2 linked regions of the Caenorhabditis elegans genome follow. The protein of the gene in region 1 interacts with the protein of each later gene in a pairwise test. Each region holds a gene or a part of one and is shown in the gene's direction. Other genes may lie near its edges.

Region 1 (8,035 bases):
CCAAAGTTCGAGTCCCACTGCGGTCAATAATTTTTATTTTTATTGTGATTCTTAATAAAACATTCCAGAACCACTGCCGAACGCTTTCCCGCTCAGCCCTCTTCAACCCAGCCCGGCAGACTGACCCCCCGGCACTCGGCGATGTTCAACTGTGCTCGTGTTACGGTGACCGGTGTAATTCTACAATAATGACGTCATCATCAATATTTATCGTCTTTTTATTAGTTTTTCTACATCGGTTATTGTATTGAAAAAGATTTTCTAAAAAATTTTTTTTTTGTGAAAAAAATTGCAATTTTTTTTTGAATTTATTGATTTTTACATGTCTTTCTTTGGATTTTTTTTTTGAAATATGATCTCCGTTTCTCTAGATGCCCATTTTTATGTTGGATATATGTATTACGGGTTTTTATATAAATATATATATATATTGGAAACACCAAACATTATTGGTTTTTTTTTTTGCTATTCTAACTGTAAGTTTTATTGCAAAAAGTGAATAAATTTTTACGTTCTTTTTTCTGAAAATTGTTTTATTTAAAAAAAAACAAAAAAACAAAAAAATTCAAAGATTTTGTCCAAATGGCTCAGTGGGATTTTCGCCGAACAAACTAAAACTACGAGAAAAAGGTGAAAATTGAGTTTTAAAACTTTAATTTATGAAAAATCTAAAAATTTGTGAGTTTTTCGCATATAAAAACTTAAAATTTAACTTAAAACCGTGATTTCTTATAATTTTCATCATTTTTCTGAATTTTTGAAAAGTTCGGTACAAGTGGCTCAGTGGGATTTTCGCCGACTACCAATCACAAGACCGGGGTTCGAGGCCGCGCTGAGGTCAAAAATTTTTGTAGTGGTTTTTTAACGTTTTTTGACAATTCAACTACGTAGAGTCCAAATTTTTAAGTGTTAGAAAACCAAAAACTACAAGAAAATGGTGAAAATTAAGTTTCAAAATTTCAATTTTAAAAAAGTCTAAAACTAGAGCTTTTTACATATAAAAACTTAAAATTTAACTTAAAACCGTGATTTCTTATAATTTTCATCGTTTTTCTGAATTTTCGAAAATTTTGTCCAAGTGGCGCAGTGGGATTTTCGCCGACTACCAATCACAAGACCGGGGTTCGAGACCGCACTGTGGCACAATTTTTTTATTGTGATTTTTAAACGGTTTTCGGATAATTCCACCATGCGGAATCCGAATTTTCAAGTTTTAGAACACAAAAACTACGAGAACATTATGAAAATTGAATTTTAAACTTTAATTTTTTTAAAAATCTAAAATTTGTGAGTTTTTCACATATAAAAAATTAAAATTTAACTTAAAACCGTGATTTCTTATAATTTCCATCGTTTTTCTGAATTTTCGAAAATTGTGTCCAAGTGGTGCAGTGGGATTTTCGCCGACTACCAATCATACCTCCGGGGTTCGAGTCCCCGCTGTGGTAAAAAATTTTTATTTTGATTTTTAAATGGTTTTCGGATAATTCCACCATGCGGAATCCGAATTTTCAAGTTTTAGAACACAAAAACTACGAGAACATGGTGAAAATTGAATTTTAAACTTTAATTTTTTTTAAAATCTAAAATTTGTGAGTTTTTCACATATAAAAATTTAAAATTTAACTTAAAACCGTGATTTCTTATAATTTCCATCGTTTTTCTGAATTTTCAAAAAAATGTGTCCAAGTGGCGCAGTGGGATTTTCGCCGACTACCAATCACACCTCCGGGGTTCGAGCCCCCAGCGTGGTCGAATTTTTTTGTATCTTTTGTATTTTTCTCCAAACAAGTTAATCATGCAAACTTCATATGTTTTTCACCTGAAAATTGCCAAATTTTCTGCACTATATTCAAATTTATTAGCATTTTTTCTAGAATGTACACGTGGAAATCACTACTAAATTATGGTAAATAGCGTAGCAAATCATCATCAAATCAAATACTAAAAGATTCTCCGCATCCACACGTTCCTTTAATATTAGGATTTCGGAAAACGAATTCCGACGATAGCTTATCGGTGACGTAATCCATTTCTGAGCCGAGTAGCGAGAGCTGAGCTTTTGGTTCGATCCACACTTTGATTCCGTCCTGGAAAATGGGAAAAATTGGGGGATTTTTCATCGAAATTAGTGAAAATCCGGGTTTTTTGTGATAAATTTGAGCTAAAAATCCAGATTTTGAGGCAATTTCTACCTGCTCAACTTCCTCGTCAAATTTCTGCTTATCCTTTGCATATTCCAGTGTATATGTTAACCCATTACAGCCTTTTTGTCGAACTCCGATCTGAAAAAATTAAAAATTTCATCATTTCCGGCGGCGCAAAAATCGAAAAATCGAAAAATCGACGGAAAAAACGAACTTTCAACGCATTTGCATCATTCTGTTGAGCCAATAACACGCGTATTCTGCTGACGGCTTCGTTGGTAAGTGTGAGAGCCGCTCTGAAACTTTTTCGGGGTGAAAATTGGCAGATTTCCGGGAAAATTCAGAATTACCTCGTTTGTCGGACTTTTAGCGCGCCTTTTATGACTTTTGCAGTTGCTCCACCGAATTTTGACATCGGAAAATTGAAAATTTAGTCGAAAAATGAGTAAAATAGCGAAAATTCCAGAAATAAAATGAAAAAAAAAAAAAAAGTGACAACGTTGCTCCGAAATCCCGGCCACGCGTGTAGTTTACCGTAAATCCAAACAAGAAATTTTTTGTCAAAATTGCCGAAATCAAGCGATTTTTAAGCTTTTTTTCTGTAAATTTTTTACGAAAATATGAAAAAATCAACGTTTTCATGCTATTATTTATTTTTCCCCTGTAAAAAACCTTTGAAATCATCGAAAAACCCTTAAAATCCAATAAAAACCCAAACACAACGACACTCCGCTCACCTCCCACCGCGTGTTGTTTACCGTAAATCCACACACAAGAGCAATTGTGCAAAAAAAAAAAACCCCGTCCAACCGGAAATTGTCCCAAAATTCTTCATTTTCTATCGATTTTCTTGCATTTTTTGTGTTTTTTGTGAATTTCAGGCTCAACATTTCGAAAAACACGGTTAAATTTTAGGGAAACCGCTCCGAAATTCGGTTTTTTTCGCTAAAAAAAAAGAGAAAAAAAAGAAAAAAAAAAATAAAATCTAAATTTTCAGGCTCCGAAATGGCTGCCACTATAACAGATGACATTGTGGCGACAGTTTTGGAGTCAATTGAGGAAAAGTCGTACGAAGATGAGAAGGAGAAGGCTGGAATGATTAAAGATGAAGCTAATCAGTTTTTTAAGGGTATTTTTTGGAAAAAAACCGATTTTTTGATGAATTTTAAAGTATTTTCCTGCTGCAGATCAAGTGTACGACGTGGCCGCCGACCTCTACTCTGTCGCAATTGAGATTCATCCGACGGCGGTTCTTTACGGAAACCGTGCACAGGCCTATCTGAAGAAAGAGCTCTACGGAAGTGCTCTTGAGGATGCGGACAACGCGATTGCAATTGATCCGTCATATGTGAAGGGATTCTATAGAAGAGCTACCGCCAATATGGCTCTGGGGCGGTTTAAAAAGGCGTTGACCGATTATCAGGCGGTTGTTAAGGTGAAAATTCACTTTTTTTGGGTGTTGAAGAGCGGAAAAAACGGCGGTTTAGAAACTATTTTTCACCCGGTTTAAGAGAAAATTTCGAAAAAATATATCAATTTTCACCTCCAGAAAGTCGGAAAACGCGAAAAATTTGAAATTTTGCTTTTTCAATTTTGGGCGCTGCTAAGACTACAAACTACAAGATTTTGGGCGCTGCTAATTCAATTTTGGGCGCTGCTTAGACTACAAACTACAATATTTTGGGCGCTGCTTAGACTACAAACTACAAGATTTTGGGCGCTGCTAATTCAATTTTGGGCGCTGCTTAGACTACAAACTACAAGTTTTGGGCGCTGCTAATTCAATTTTGGGCGCTGTTAGACTACAAACTACAATATTTTGGGCGCTGCTAATTTAATTTTGGGCGCTGCTTAAACTACAAACTACAAGTTTTGGGCGCTGCTAATTCAATTTTGGGCGCTGCTGACAGCTTTCGGCCGAAAAAATTGAAAAGAAATCGATATTTATGAAAAAAAAAACCAATTTTTATGAGAAAAACGTGATTTTTGATAATTTTTCTCTCAAATTTAGTATAATTTCAAAAATTCCCGTATTTTTCCCCGAAAAAATTTCCATTTTTTTGCAGGTTTGCCCCAACGACAAAGACGCTCGCGCAAAATTCGACGAATGCTCGAAAATCGTCCGCCGACAGAAGTTTGAAGCCGCAATTTCGACGGATCACGACAAGAAAACCGTCGCCGAGACTCTTGATATTAATGCAATGGCTATTGAGGATTCGTATGATGGTCCACGGCTGGAAGATAAAGTACGGGTGGAAAATGGCTGTGAAAATCGATTTTTAGACGGAAAATTGATGTAAAACCGGCAATTTTGACCCCGAAATTCAATTTTCAGAGCGGAAATTGCGATTTTCGGTGGAAAACTGATGTAAAAATCAATTTTTCATAGAAATTTGATCTAAAAAACGGTCCAAAAACATAAATTTTTGTGAAAATCGATCTAAAAATACGTTTTTCAAGGGTAATAGGCCAGAAATTCGAATTTTTTTGCGAAAATTAGTCCAAAAAATCGATTTTTCAAGGGAAAAGTGGTCCTGAAACTATTTTTCATAAAAATTAATTTGAAAATCTATTTTTCACTGCAATTTTAACCCAAAAATCGATTTTTCACAAAAAAAAACTAGCATTTCCGGTCAGAAAACGTGCAAATTTCCAATCTTTTTTGGATTTTCTGGAATTTTCATTAAAAAATTGGTCCAAAAATCTATTTTTCATAGAAATTTAGTCCAAAAGTCAATTTTTCACGAAAAATTCGCCTGAAAATCATTTTTTTTTCATAGAAATTTAGTCTAAAAATCGATTTTCCGCAAAAAATACAGAAAAAAAGTGAATTTTTCGTTAAAAAAAAGCGAAAAATTGAGTTTTTTCCCGTTTTTTCCGTAAAAAACCGCAAAAATGATCAAAATCCTTTTCAGATAACCAAGGAATTCGTGTTGCAACTCATCAAAACGTTCAAAAATCAGCAAAAATTGCACAAAAAGTACGCGTTCAAGATGCTCCTCGAGTTTTATAATTATGTCAAATCACTGCCAACAATGGTTGAAATTACGGTGCCAACTGGCAAGAAATTCACGATTTGCGGTGATGTTCACGGACAATTCTACGATTTGTGCAATATTTTCGAGATTAATGGATATCCATCGGAGACTAATCCATATGTACGGGGAAAGCGCTGAAAAATGAGAGATTTTGACTGAAAATCCGGGAAAATTGAGGAATTTTGAGCTAAAATTCATAAAAATTTCCAATTTTTGACCGAAAATCATGAAAATAGGCAAATTTTGTGATATAATCATGTTTTCTAGTGAAAAACCTCTAAAAATTGAATTTTTTTGCAGAAATTATTGAAATAAGCTCAATAAATCGACATTTTGATTGAAATTCGTGAAAAAATTTCAAACATTAAAACCAAAACAGCTGAAAATTGAGGAATTTTCACCAAAAATGCGGATTTTCAGATAAAAACCCTGAAATGATTTTTTTTTTCAAAGTTTTGGCAGAAGTCATTGAAAAATTCCGAATTTTTAGCAAAAAGCAAAAAAATTGCCAATTTTTGACTTTAAATTTATGAAAAATGCTCGATTTTTTTACTAAAAACCGCCTGAAAGCCAAAATTTTGTCAAAAATCTTGAAAAAGTCGAATTTTCTACAAAAAACCATCAAAATTTCGAAATTTTGACTTAAAAATCAATGCAAAATATTTTTTTTTCACTAAAAAGCTGAAAAATGCTCTTTTTTAATGCTCGAAATTTTGGCTAAAATTCATTTTAAAAAATCCTGATTTTCACCAAAAATTGGCAATTTTTCATCAAAAAACTTGAAAAAATTTCAATTTTTTGCTGAAATTGCAGAAATACCACAAAAATTACCAAATTTTGACTCTAAAAATCACGAAAACACCTAATTTTCACCCCAAAAACCCCCGAAAATGGCCAAATTTTCACTTAAAATATGTGAAAAATGCTCAAAAAATGGCCAAATTTTCAGCTTTTCAACGGTGATTTCGTGGATCGTGGCTCATTTTCCGTTGAAACAATTTTCACAATGATTGGCTTCAAACTTCTATACCCAAATCATTTCTTTATGTCACGTGGAAATCACGAATCTGACGTCATGAATAAAATGTACGGATTTGAGGGTGAAGTTAAGGCGAAATATACTCAACAAATGTGTGATATGTTTACGGAGACGTTCTGCTGGTTACCATTGTGCCATTTGATTAATGAGAAGATTTTTGTGAGTTTCTTCACGTGAAAAATGGCCTGGAAATCTGGAAAATTTGAGGAAAATGGCCCAGAAATCGCTGAAATCCTGGATTTTTCATTTCTGGGCGCTGCTAATTTTCTGGACGCTGCTAATTTTTTGGTCACTGCTAATTATTTGGTCGCTGCTAATTTTTTGGGCGCTGCTAATTATTTGGTCGCTGCTAATTTTTTGGTCGCTGCTAATTATTTGGTCGCTGCTAATTTTTTGGTCACTGCTAATTATTTGGTCGCTGCTAATTTTTTGGGCGCTGCTAATTATTTGGTCGCTGCTAATTTTTTGGTCGCTGCTAATTATTTGGTCGCTGCTAATTTTCTGGGCGCTGCTAATTTTTTTGGTCGCTGCTAATTTTCTGGTCGCTGCTAATTTTCTGGTCGCTGCTAATTTTCTGGGCGCTGCTAATTTTTTTGGTCGCTGCTAAATTTTTGGGCGCTGCTAAATTTTTGGGCGCTGCTAATTTTCTGGGCGCTGCTAATTTTTTGGGCGCTGCTAATTTTTTGGTCGCTGCTAATTATTTGGTCGCTGCTAATTTTTTGGGCGCTGCTAATTTTTTGGTCGCTGCTAATTATTTGGTCGCTGCTAATTTTTTGGGCGCTGCTAATTTTTTGGTCGCTGCTAATTATTTGGTCGCTGCTAATTATTTGGTCGCTGCTAATTTTCTGGTCGCTGCTAATTTTTTGGGCGCTGCTAATTTTTGGGCGCTGCTAATTTTCTGGTCGCTGCTAATTTTTTGGGCGCTGCTAATTTTTGGGCGCTGCTAATTTTCTGGTCGCTGCTAATTTTCTGGTCGCTGCTAATTTTTTGGGCGCTGCTAATTTTTGGGCGCTGCTAATTTTTTGGTTGCTGCTAATTTTCTGGGCGCTGCTAATTTTTGGGCGCTGCTAATTTTTTGGTCGCTGCTAATTATTTGGTCGCTGCTAATTTTCTGGTCGCTGCTAATTTTTTGGGCGCTGCTAATTTTTGGGCGCTGCTAATTTTCTGGTCGCTGCTAATTTTCTGGGCGCTGCTAATTTTTTGGTCGCTGCTAATTTTTTGGTCGCTGCTAATTTTTGGGCGCTGCTAATTTTCTGGTCGCTGCTAATTTTTTGGGCGCTGCTAATTTTTGGGCGCTGCTAATTTTCTGGTCGCTGCTAATTTTCTGGTCGCTGCTAATTTTTTGGGCGCTGCTAATTTTTTGGTCGCTGCTAATTATTTGGTCGCTGCTAATTATTTGGGCGCTGCTAATTTTTTGGTCGCTGCTAATTATTTGGTCGCTGCTAATTTTTTGGTCGCTGCTAATTATTTGGTCGCTGCTAATTTTTTGGTCGCTGCTAATTTTTTGGTCGCTGCTAATTTTTTGGTCGCTGCTAATTTTTTGGGCGCTGCTAATTTTTTGGTCGCTGCTAATTTTCTGGGCGCTGCTAATTTTTGGTATTTTTCCAGGTGTGCCATGGTGGATTATTCAAAGAAGACGGTGTAACACTGGAAGATATTCGAAAAACTGACAGAAATCGTCAGCCACCAGATGAGGGTATCATGTGTGATCTACTTTGGTAGGTTTGTAGGAAAATGGCTGAAGATTCGGGATTTTTTGATAAAAACCAGAAAAATTGCTTCAAAAAAACCTGAAAATGCGTATGTTCAGT
Region 2 (8,691 bases), on another chromosome or scaffold:
CTCAAAACCACCCCTCTAATCTAAAAAATTAAACTTTGAAAATAATCAAAAAATTATTTTTTAAAAGTACTTCATTAAAATTAATGTGTTCATTTTTCCTTACAACGACCGTTAAGCTATTCCACTCAACGATTGTTAAGTCTACAGTTCAACCTCTCAATTGAATATTGAAAATAATTATTTAAAACGTTTACACCTCCAACTTCAACGTAGTTTCTCGTTCACATTCTGAAGTATATGCTAGTTGCTGGTACATAAAGTCCATCTCATTCCTTTTTTTCTTTTCTTATTTCACGTTTTTACCTTCTCCACTCCCCTTCCTCTCTCTCTCTCGAAATTTTGTGCTATATTCCCCGTACTAGGTGGTACAACGTCACAGTTTCTCTGTTCACCCATCCCCTTCAATATTCCTTCATTTTTCACAAAAACAAGCAGCTTCTGTCATTTTTCGCATTTTTATTCTTTGTTGCTAACCTGTCCTATGTAGATAAAACAGGAAGAATGAAGTTCAGGAATAAAATATTAACCAAAGAACCTGTTTTGTAGTTGGGAATATTTAGAGCAGAACTTGTGCTCAACGTTTGCTGAAAAATTTAAAAGTGATTTAGAAGTTGGCAAAGCCTGTCTAAAGTAGACCATGTTCAAGTTTTGCACGACCAGTTTTAAGCACGGTATAAACAGTGCCAGGCTCTGGGTACAGCATATTTTTAAGCGCAAGTAAATTGAACGATTTTTCAGTTACATACGTACGCCTGCCTACTGCCTATTTTCTCCATTTTGGATGTAAAATTAGGTGTTTTGAGAATGAAGACAGTATTCATTTGTTGAAACTTCGAAAATTATTTATACAAAATTCCTGACTGTTGGCAAGCATTTTTGCGCAAACATGTTTTATTTCAAAACTTCCTATTTTGGAAAGTATTTTTTTAAACATTAACCACATTCATTCAGCACGATTATATGGTTCGCATGTGATATTATTTTGTATTCGGTTGCGATTTATTTATTTTTCGAGATTTATTTTACAAAAAAGTTTTATCGTCTGCAAAAATAATTTGTTTGAAAATGACAATAATTATTAATTAGATAAAAAACAGTTATCAATTTTTCAATTTGCTATTTAAATGTTCAAATTTGTTTTCCGAGCCATTTTATTTCAAAATTCGAAAAAAAACCCGTGCAAAACTCGTTATCACTGAGCAATAATGACAGTATTTATTGAAAAAAAATGTTTTGTGGATTTTTGCTTTGCTCGGTCTGAGATCTACCTAGAAATGCAATACAAAGGAATAATGATTCACTTTTCTTCCTGTATTGGTTTTCACCAGATATAAATTCACAGGGTATTTCAACAATTTTCATTTTTCTCTGAAAAATTTCAAAAAATTTGCACAATCTTTTAAAGTCTGAATTAGTATCAAAAATTGAATACTTAACTGAAAAATTGTAAATTTCAAAAAAGCCAGTTACATATATTCATTTTTCCAGGTCTTGAAATTGTTCTACGTATCTATTAAAATGCAAACACTGGATTTCCTAATCCCTTTTAAAGGTGAAGGTAGGGTCAGTTGTTTTTTTGTCTACATGCATTTTTAAAAATTCAGAATGGACGAATTTTAAGATAAATCACTTGAAAATTTTTAGATTTTCAAAATTTTGCAGGCAAATTTTTGGTAATTTGGAAAATTTACAATACATTTTAACTATTTAACAAATTTAGGGCAATGCCCAAAACACAATTGGAAAACAACAATTTTAGGTAAAAGATTTTTTGTGCAACTTCTAAAATTATGAGTAACATTACCTTACCCAATTTTTCAATATAAGTTTTTTGGAGTTAACTTCAAAAAATTCCCTACTGGGGATACCGAATCTTTATTGTAAGGTACGGTAGGATGTGTCTTTCCAAAACATTTAGTTTCTTTTCCAAATTTTTTTTCTGAGCAACCACATGATTTCTCAATCCTCCCGTTTTTTTCCCTCAACAACTGCTCACGTGACAGTCCTCAGATTGTGTTCAAAACTAGCCCCCTCCAGTTGCCCTTTTGTCTCGTATTAGTCCTGACACCTCTATCCTTCCTCAGCTGTCTCGCCGTCTCACTCTCGCAACATAGTGTCCGTAGGGGTCACGTGTCTGCGTGTGTGTGTCTTTTGTGCACACTGGTTATGAACACTTGCCGACTGTTAGAACACCGGATTGCACGCGCAAAACAGTTTTCAAATGGTCTCCAGTTTTTTAGGCCTAATTCTTTTTTCATGCTATGAAATTCGTTGTTTTTCCTATTTTTTCGAAGTTTTTTTTTAAATTGAAAGCATTAGTTGAAAAAAAGGAACTAAAGTTAATAGAATTTTAGGAAGACCTCGAAAAGATACTAATCAATTTACTTTCTCTCTGCCTCTCCAAATAAATTTCTTTTCTCCGCCAAAACGCAGCTGTTTTCTTTCTGCCCTCTAATCGTTCCGAGCCTTCTATCAAATAATTGATAAGAGTATATAACGTTCGAGATAGAAACACCGTTCTGATAACTTTTTAAAGCATCCCCATTCCAACAAAAAAAATCGTTTCCTCACATGATTATGTTTCACATCGATTTTTGTTGTTGTGTTGTTGTTTCACTGTTTGATTCTCGTTTGTTCTTGTTTGTACTCTACTCTTGCAGGGCATGTGTGTCGGCCTGTCAAAACTAGGGTTCGGCCCGCTGCCCGTTCTTATCGCGCTCATCTTCTTCGTGCAGTCATGTAAGTTTTTTTTGTGACAAAAGAAAGTGATAGAATAACTTGAAAATTAAAAAGACAAATTGTCCTGCTATTCGACAACAATGTTTTTTTTTAAATTTAAATTGCAACTTCTGTTATTTAGCAAATATTTTTTTTTCTAAAGACACCAGGTTAATTTAGAGTATTTCGTTTTTAGCATTGCATCAAAATTTCGTTTTCAAAACTAGAACTATTTTTTGCTATTTCGCAGTTATTTTACTATAAAACCGTTCACAAAGTCATCAATGATTTTGGATATCTCGTGAAACAAGTCAAAATGCATTGGAAGAAAAATTAAATTAAATTTATTAATATATTATTTTTAAAAAAATTCAAAATTCATCTTCAACAAATATAGTTTATGGGGTTATTCAAGTAGTGTCGGAAAATTACAAGGTGTAAAAAAAATGACGTCACAACTGTGTTAACATACCTTGTTTTTAATGTATTTTAACACAGTTGTGACGTTATTTTTCTAGACTTTTTAATTTTCCGGCACTACTTGAACAACCCCATAGATTATTTTTTTTTTAAAGACGAATTTAGAAAATTTTTAAATGGTATATAAATAAATTAAAAAAAAAGGATACACACTATGCATTTCCTATACGGTTTCAAATTCACATTGACAAATTACTTCCAAACAGGCCTAACTATGTACATATGTATATCAACTTTCAGTTTTCGTCTACACTATCGCAGTGCTCAAACACGACGTCGATCCAATCTTCCCGTACCTCTCGTCGGCCGCCGACAAACGTCCCCAATCATGCATCTTTGCCATCGGAGCCAACATCAGCAGTGTTCTGCTTGCCCTTGTGGTCTTTGTGAGATATCGCCAGTTGAGGGGCATTTTCGCATTCTATGATGAGGCCAACCTGCAGGCATGGAACTGGCGGCAAAAGTGGTTTGGATACATTGCCGCGCTGGGATTGTTCTTTGTGGCAAATGTTCAGGTAGTTAATTTTGAATAAGTTTAAATTTTAATTCGGCAAAGCCGAAAAAAAAACGTTTTGTCAATGATGTAGAAATTTATATGAATTGTAGCAAAAAATGTACTTGATTTGATGATTTATAGCAATTGATAGGGTTCTGGTAAATGAATAATTTATCAGGGTTGTAGTTTGAAATCCAGTCGACTTTCTAACTGTTAAGAATCAGATCAGAGGTGGGCGGCAAACAAAGTGCCAATTTGCCGAATTTACCCGTCTTATTAATAATTTCCCTAAACATTTCCGGGAAATCTGATATCCGGCAAACGGCAAATTGGCAATTTGCCGAAAATGAAAATTTCCGGTAAATCGGCAAACCGGCAATTTGCCGCCCACCCCCAAATCAGATATAAAAAATGTAATCAGAAAATTAATTATGACGACTTTCAGAATTTTTTTAATTCAAATAAACTAAACTATTGTCACGTGATCGACATTTGGCTCAAGCTTCTTGCCCAAGTCTAATCCAATTTTTGCCAAACTTCTGCCCAAGATTAAAATAAAACAAGACAAGTTTGAGCAAAAGTTTGGCAAGAGATGGGTGAAATTTGGACTAAACTTTGGCGCAGAATAAATCAATGTTTAGCTAAAGTCTTGCCCGACTTTTGTCCAAGTTTAGCTAACTATCGATTCAAGCTAATATTTTTTGGGCCAAATTTAGACAAGAAGCTGAAGCCAAATGCCGAGTGTACAGTGACCCTTTTTACTTTGGCAGCGTTTAATTCACCGAACCCAGAGCGATTTACCCATCGGCTCTTCTCCAGTTCAAACTTGCCACTGAAATCCGCCACAACAACTAGAATGTTACAACAAACGCTGAAAAAAAACCCGAACGAGAGAAAAGTCCGAACGGAATTTCTCCTAATAATTTTTACTTTTCAGGAAACCGCCATCATCCCGGTTCACATGTCCTCCGCCGTTGCCTCATTTGGTGGATTCAGCATCTACATGATCTTCCAGTGCTACCTTACGCACCGAGTCACACCGACAATCACACTGAGGACTGTTTTCTATTACCGTGTGATCTTCACTATCTTCTCCGTGATTTGCTTCTGCTGCTGTAAGTTTCGACCTTTGCACTCGGAATTTTTTTTTTTTCTGAAGAGATTGATCGCATTCTTGATGATAACATCTAGTTGTTCCCTGTAGTGGATTTAAAATACGAATTGGTTGATAATTTAACAAGATTACGCTACATAGAATCGACAAATGTTAAAGGAAGTTGCGCATGATCTTTGAAGTCTTCCTTGGTTAAAGTCTAAACTAGCTCACCAATCGGATATATAAAAAATTGTGCAACATTTTAGCGATGTATCATAAATGATCTCAATGATTCATGGCTATGCAAAGAAATTTAAATTTTCAGCATTTGGATTCGGAATCGCTGCTTCCAAAATCTTCCACAAGACGTACCCGGATCTTCCGACGCCCCGTCCCTGGTCCCGTCGTATTTATCAGCCCGTAAGTATTATTGATATTCAGTAAATAATACATTGAATGATAGTCGAAAACTATAAAACCAAAAAAAATATATATTTCCGGGGGCAGCATAGCTCAGTCGGTAGTGGTGGCCGCTAACAATCTGGAGGTTGGCCTGAGTGGTCTAGTGGGTAAGGTGCGCGACTTTCACCCACATGGTGCAGGTTCAATCCCCACGCCGGTCACTCTTGTCTCCGCTTTGACCGGTGCGTTGGTCGCCTGATCATTATGATGTATGATACCCAAATAAAGTCGTGGTTAATAGACGGGCCGGAGGTCCGTACAGAAAAAAAAACTCGGCGCTGGGTGAATAATATCTGAAGTGCATCGATCAGTTACGAGTCTGGTGATTAATGGGGGCGTCGTCGTCGCTCAGATCCCCCCGACCTAGTCGGGCCAACACCCATTAGCTCTCAACGCGCGCACGTTGTACAATTATTATTATATATTAACAATCTGGAGGTCACAAGTTCAAGTCCGGCCTCACCCCCTGGGTTTACCCAGCCTCTATTGGGAAGTGCAGCAATCCACGACTGGATTATTGTCCACAGTCCCCGGCTAGGACGTGGCTTAAATTATAGCCCAGGGGGAGCACCAGTGTACCTGACTTATAGATCCGCAGTGCATAGCGCTTGTAGAACGGATCGTCATTTAATCTTTTTTTTTTTAAATATTTCATTTAAACAGACTTTCTGTTGAAGGAACCACTACAATCTTGTTGGAATCTTGATGTCAGCTATAAAATTGTTTCATGGGAAATTTCAAATGCTCTTTTTTTTTTAAACTCACTTGCAGTAGCATCTATTCCCTCAATCCCCACCAGCAAATTCGCAGAATGGGTAATTCCTGGTCTCCCGAATTGAATTCCTGGAAAAAATATTTGTTTTGTATTTTAGGAACAATGTACCTTAAAAAATCAGTTTATAGTCTGGTCTCACACAAGGCAGAATGAGTTAAAAAAAACCCCTTGAAGTTCTTAGAAAACAATTTTTCAAATTTCCAGGGCTACGAGCTGCACCAGATCTCGGCGCTCGCTGAATGGGGATGTGCCATCTCACAGATCTTCTTCATACAGTCGTTTGGGCCGGAGTTTGAGGACATCTCCCTCGACTATTATCTCAAATCGCACTACGTTCCGCGCGGAGCACTTGAGCAGGAGGAGTATGAAAATGAGTACCAAGGATATGGCATCTAGAAATTATTGCATTCGAATCTTTCTCTTTCTGTTACCGGTGGGCCGTTGACGCAGCTCATTTTCACGTGTTCTACTAGTATTTTGAAATTTCATGACATTTAATTTTGCTGTAACATCTCATGTTTTTTGCATCCCCGTTTTTCTTTCACAAAGATTCCCCAACTACCCAGTTTTTTTAGTGCCTTGTATATCCCATTGAATTGTTTGTTGCAGGTGCTATCAATCAATTAACCATTTATTTTTATAACTTTTTTTTTCATCTTTCTAGGGACACAAGATTTGAATAATTGGAGGAGACAATTCAGAGCAAAAAAGAAAAGACAAAATGTTTTTAAAATGACAACAAAGAGAGAAATGATCGATTCGGGAAAGGGCTGGAGAACAAAAAATAGTGGGTAAAACTATTGCACAATTTTTTGAGGTAATTATGGTAATTCAGAGAAACAGGAAGAGAGAGAGATGAAAATAAGGAAAATTGAAGGAAAAAAGATAGAAAAATGAAATTAGAAAGGAAAAATGAATTTTTTTAATGAGAAAATCTTGATACAAAATTTATAAATCACAAAACTCAAATTTTTCGGGGAAAACTGAATGATGATGATGATGAGAGAAGATAAGATATTTTTAAATATGGAAACTTTAATAACGACGAAAAAAAAACCATAAGTTAATGTGTTCCCATACGACTACCAATGAATACATCAATTAGAGATCAAAAAACTGGAATTTGATTTGTATATTTGAGTTTCTGTTTGGTTTAGAATTCTTCCAATGAATAGCATTGCTGTGCTATTCAATACCTGACACTGATTGACTGGAATTTCTTGGAAACCTGAAAAGTATATAACATCTAATTTAGCTCCTTTAAAAATTCAAATTTACCATTTAAATGCCCTTTACATTTTCCCAACCATGGGCACCTGGTCCGAACTTGTACACCAGTTTCTTCGGATAAAGACCAGTTTTTGGGACTGGAACCAGTATTTGCTTTTCGTAGTAGGTTCTGAAAAAAAGATATGTTTTTAAGCATTAATTTGAATTTTTGACGACAAACCTCATCGCTCGACTGAGCTTTTCATATGTCATTTTTTCATTGTTTTTTCGAGCTCCCCACAGCCGAGCCAGCTTCTCTGACTCCACGATACGGAATACTCCTTCAATCGGGTCTTCCCATCTGGAAACATTAACCATGAGTATTTAATTTTATTTTTACATTTGCTGAAGGAACTCACCTCACAACAGACGGACAAGTTGATGGGTCTTTCAACGCATCTCTGATAAACTCCCACAATTTATTACCCTTCGTGTGTTGCGAACGCTTTCTTGGTTTGCCATCTTTGTTCTTTTTGATTTTCAAGTCACTGCTTTCAGCCGACCTTTCTTCTGGCACTAAAATAGATTGGATATTGAATAAAACATGAGTCTGGAATTTGGCTCTTACCTTCGTATTCGGTGTTGATCGTGCATGAATATTTGAGCATTGGCGACAACTTTGGTTGGATCGGCGCACTGAGAAGCGGTGACGCGGGGTTTAACCGGCTTGATAGCTGATAGTTGACTCCTAATGGACTGAGACTACTGGTCAAGCCTGCTGCAATGCTGGACGCCAAAGATTGATTGAGCGATTGAACGGCGTTGGCAGTTTGCTGGGGTGTGAGAATTGTAGTGTTAAATGTCTGTTGAGAGAGCACTTGAGTTAGACTGCTCAAATTGTTTAGCTGATGTTGCATAACAGGTAGCGGAGCAAGGTGTGGCGTTGGATGTTGAAGAGGAGGCTGAATTGTGCATGTGATACTGCTAATCATTGGTTGTAATCCCAAGGAAGTCATATCAACGATCGTAGGTGGTGCACTGGTTGTCGCAATTTCATCGTCCACAAATGGCCCAATGACAGTATCAAGAGTTGTGTCTTCTGAAACAAAGAGAAAATGAGAAATGATAGAAGAAAAATCGAATAGTGCTCGAAAGTGCAAGACTTTTACTCTGCTCTTCTGATTCCTCGAATCTCTCTATATTCAAAACTCTTGCAATTCGAAATCATAATAATAATTCTAATTCTAATTCACATGAACTGAAAGAAATCAGACATTGCTGCTTTCTCTCTTTCTGCTGAGAAAAATTAAGAATATAATACCAGTGATCAAAAACCAGCACAAGTGCTTCTAAGTGCTGTCCAACCAAATATTAACCACCGAATCTCACAATCTCACCTGAGTTTTCCAACGTCTTTCTGAACTCGTTGAAAATCAAATTTCCAAAGACCGGATC

Evidence for each region.
Region 2: the proteins of pph-5 (region 1) and C33A11.2 interact in a two-hybrid assay, tested with the Caenorhabditis elegans proteins (one large-scale study listed by BioGRID).

Annotation. Positions count from the first base shown.
Region 1 is NC_003283.11:19,187,403-19,195,437, forward strand, and holds the start of pph-5 (Serine/threonine-protein phosphatase 5), read left to right. Parts: upstream 1-3,144; 5' UTR 3,145-3,152; coding exon 3,153-3,276; intron 3,277-3,334; coding exon 3,335-3,582; intron 3,583-4,213; coding exon 4,214-4,393; intron 4,394-5,062; coding exon 5,063-5,305; intron 5,306-6,134; coding exon 6,135-6,383; intron 6,384-7,832; coding exon 7,833-7,942; intron 7,943-8,035. Other genes in the region: hot-2 (Homolog of Odr-2 (Two)), read left to right, coding at 69-251; Y39B6A.3 (Iron-sulfur cluster assembly 1 homolog, mitochondrial), read right to left, coding at 1,938-2,090, 2,196-2,285, 2,362-2,449, 2,498-2,562.
Region 2 is NC_003284.9:15,363,334-15,372,024, forward strand, and holds C33A11.2 (Aa_trans domain-containing protein), read left to right. Parts: upstream 1-2,658; 5' UTR 2,659-2,663; coding exon 2,664-2,739; intron 2,740-3,438; coding exon 3,439-3,713; intron 3,714-4,631; coding exon 4,632-4,809; intron 4,810-5,115; coding exon 5,116-5,210; intron 5,211-5,341; exon of another isoform or gene 5,342-5,413; intron 5,414-6,231; coding exon 6,232-6,423; 3' UTR 6,424-6,666; downstream 6,667-8,691. Other genes in the region: svh-5 (Ets-domain protein), read right to left, coding at 7,309-7,426, 7,478-7,597, 7,656-7,812, 7,865-8,335, 8,634-8,691.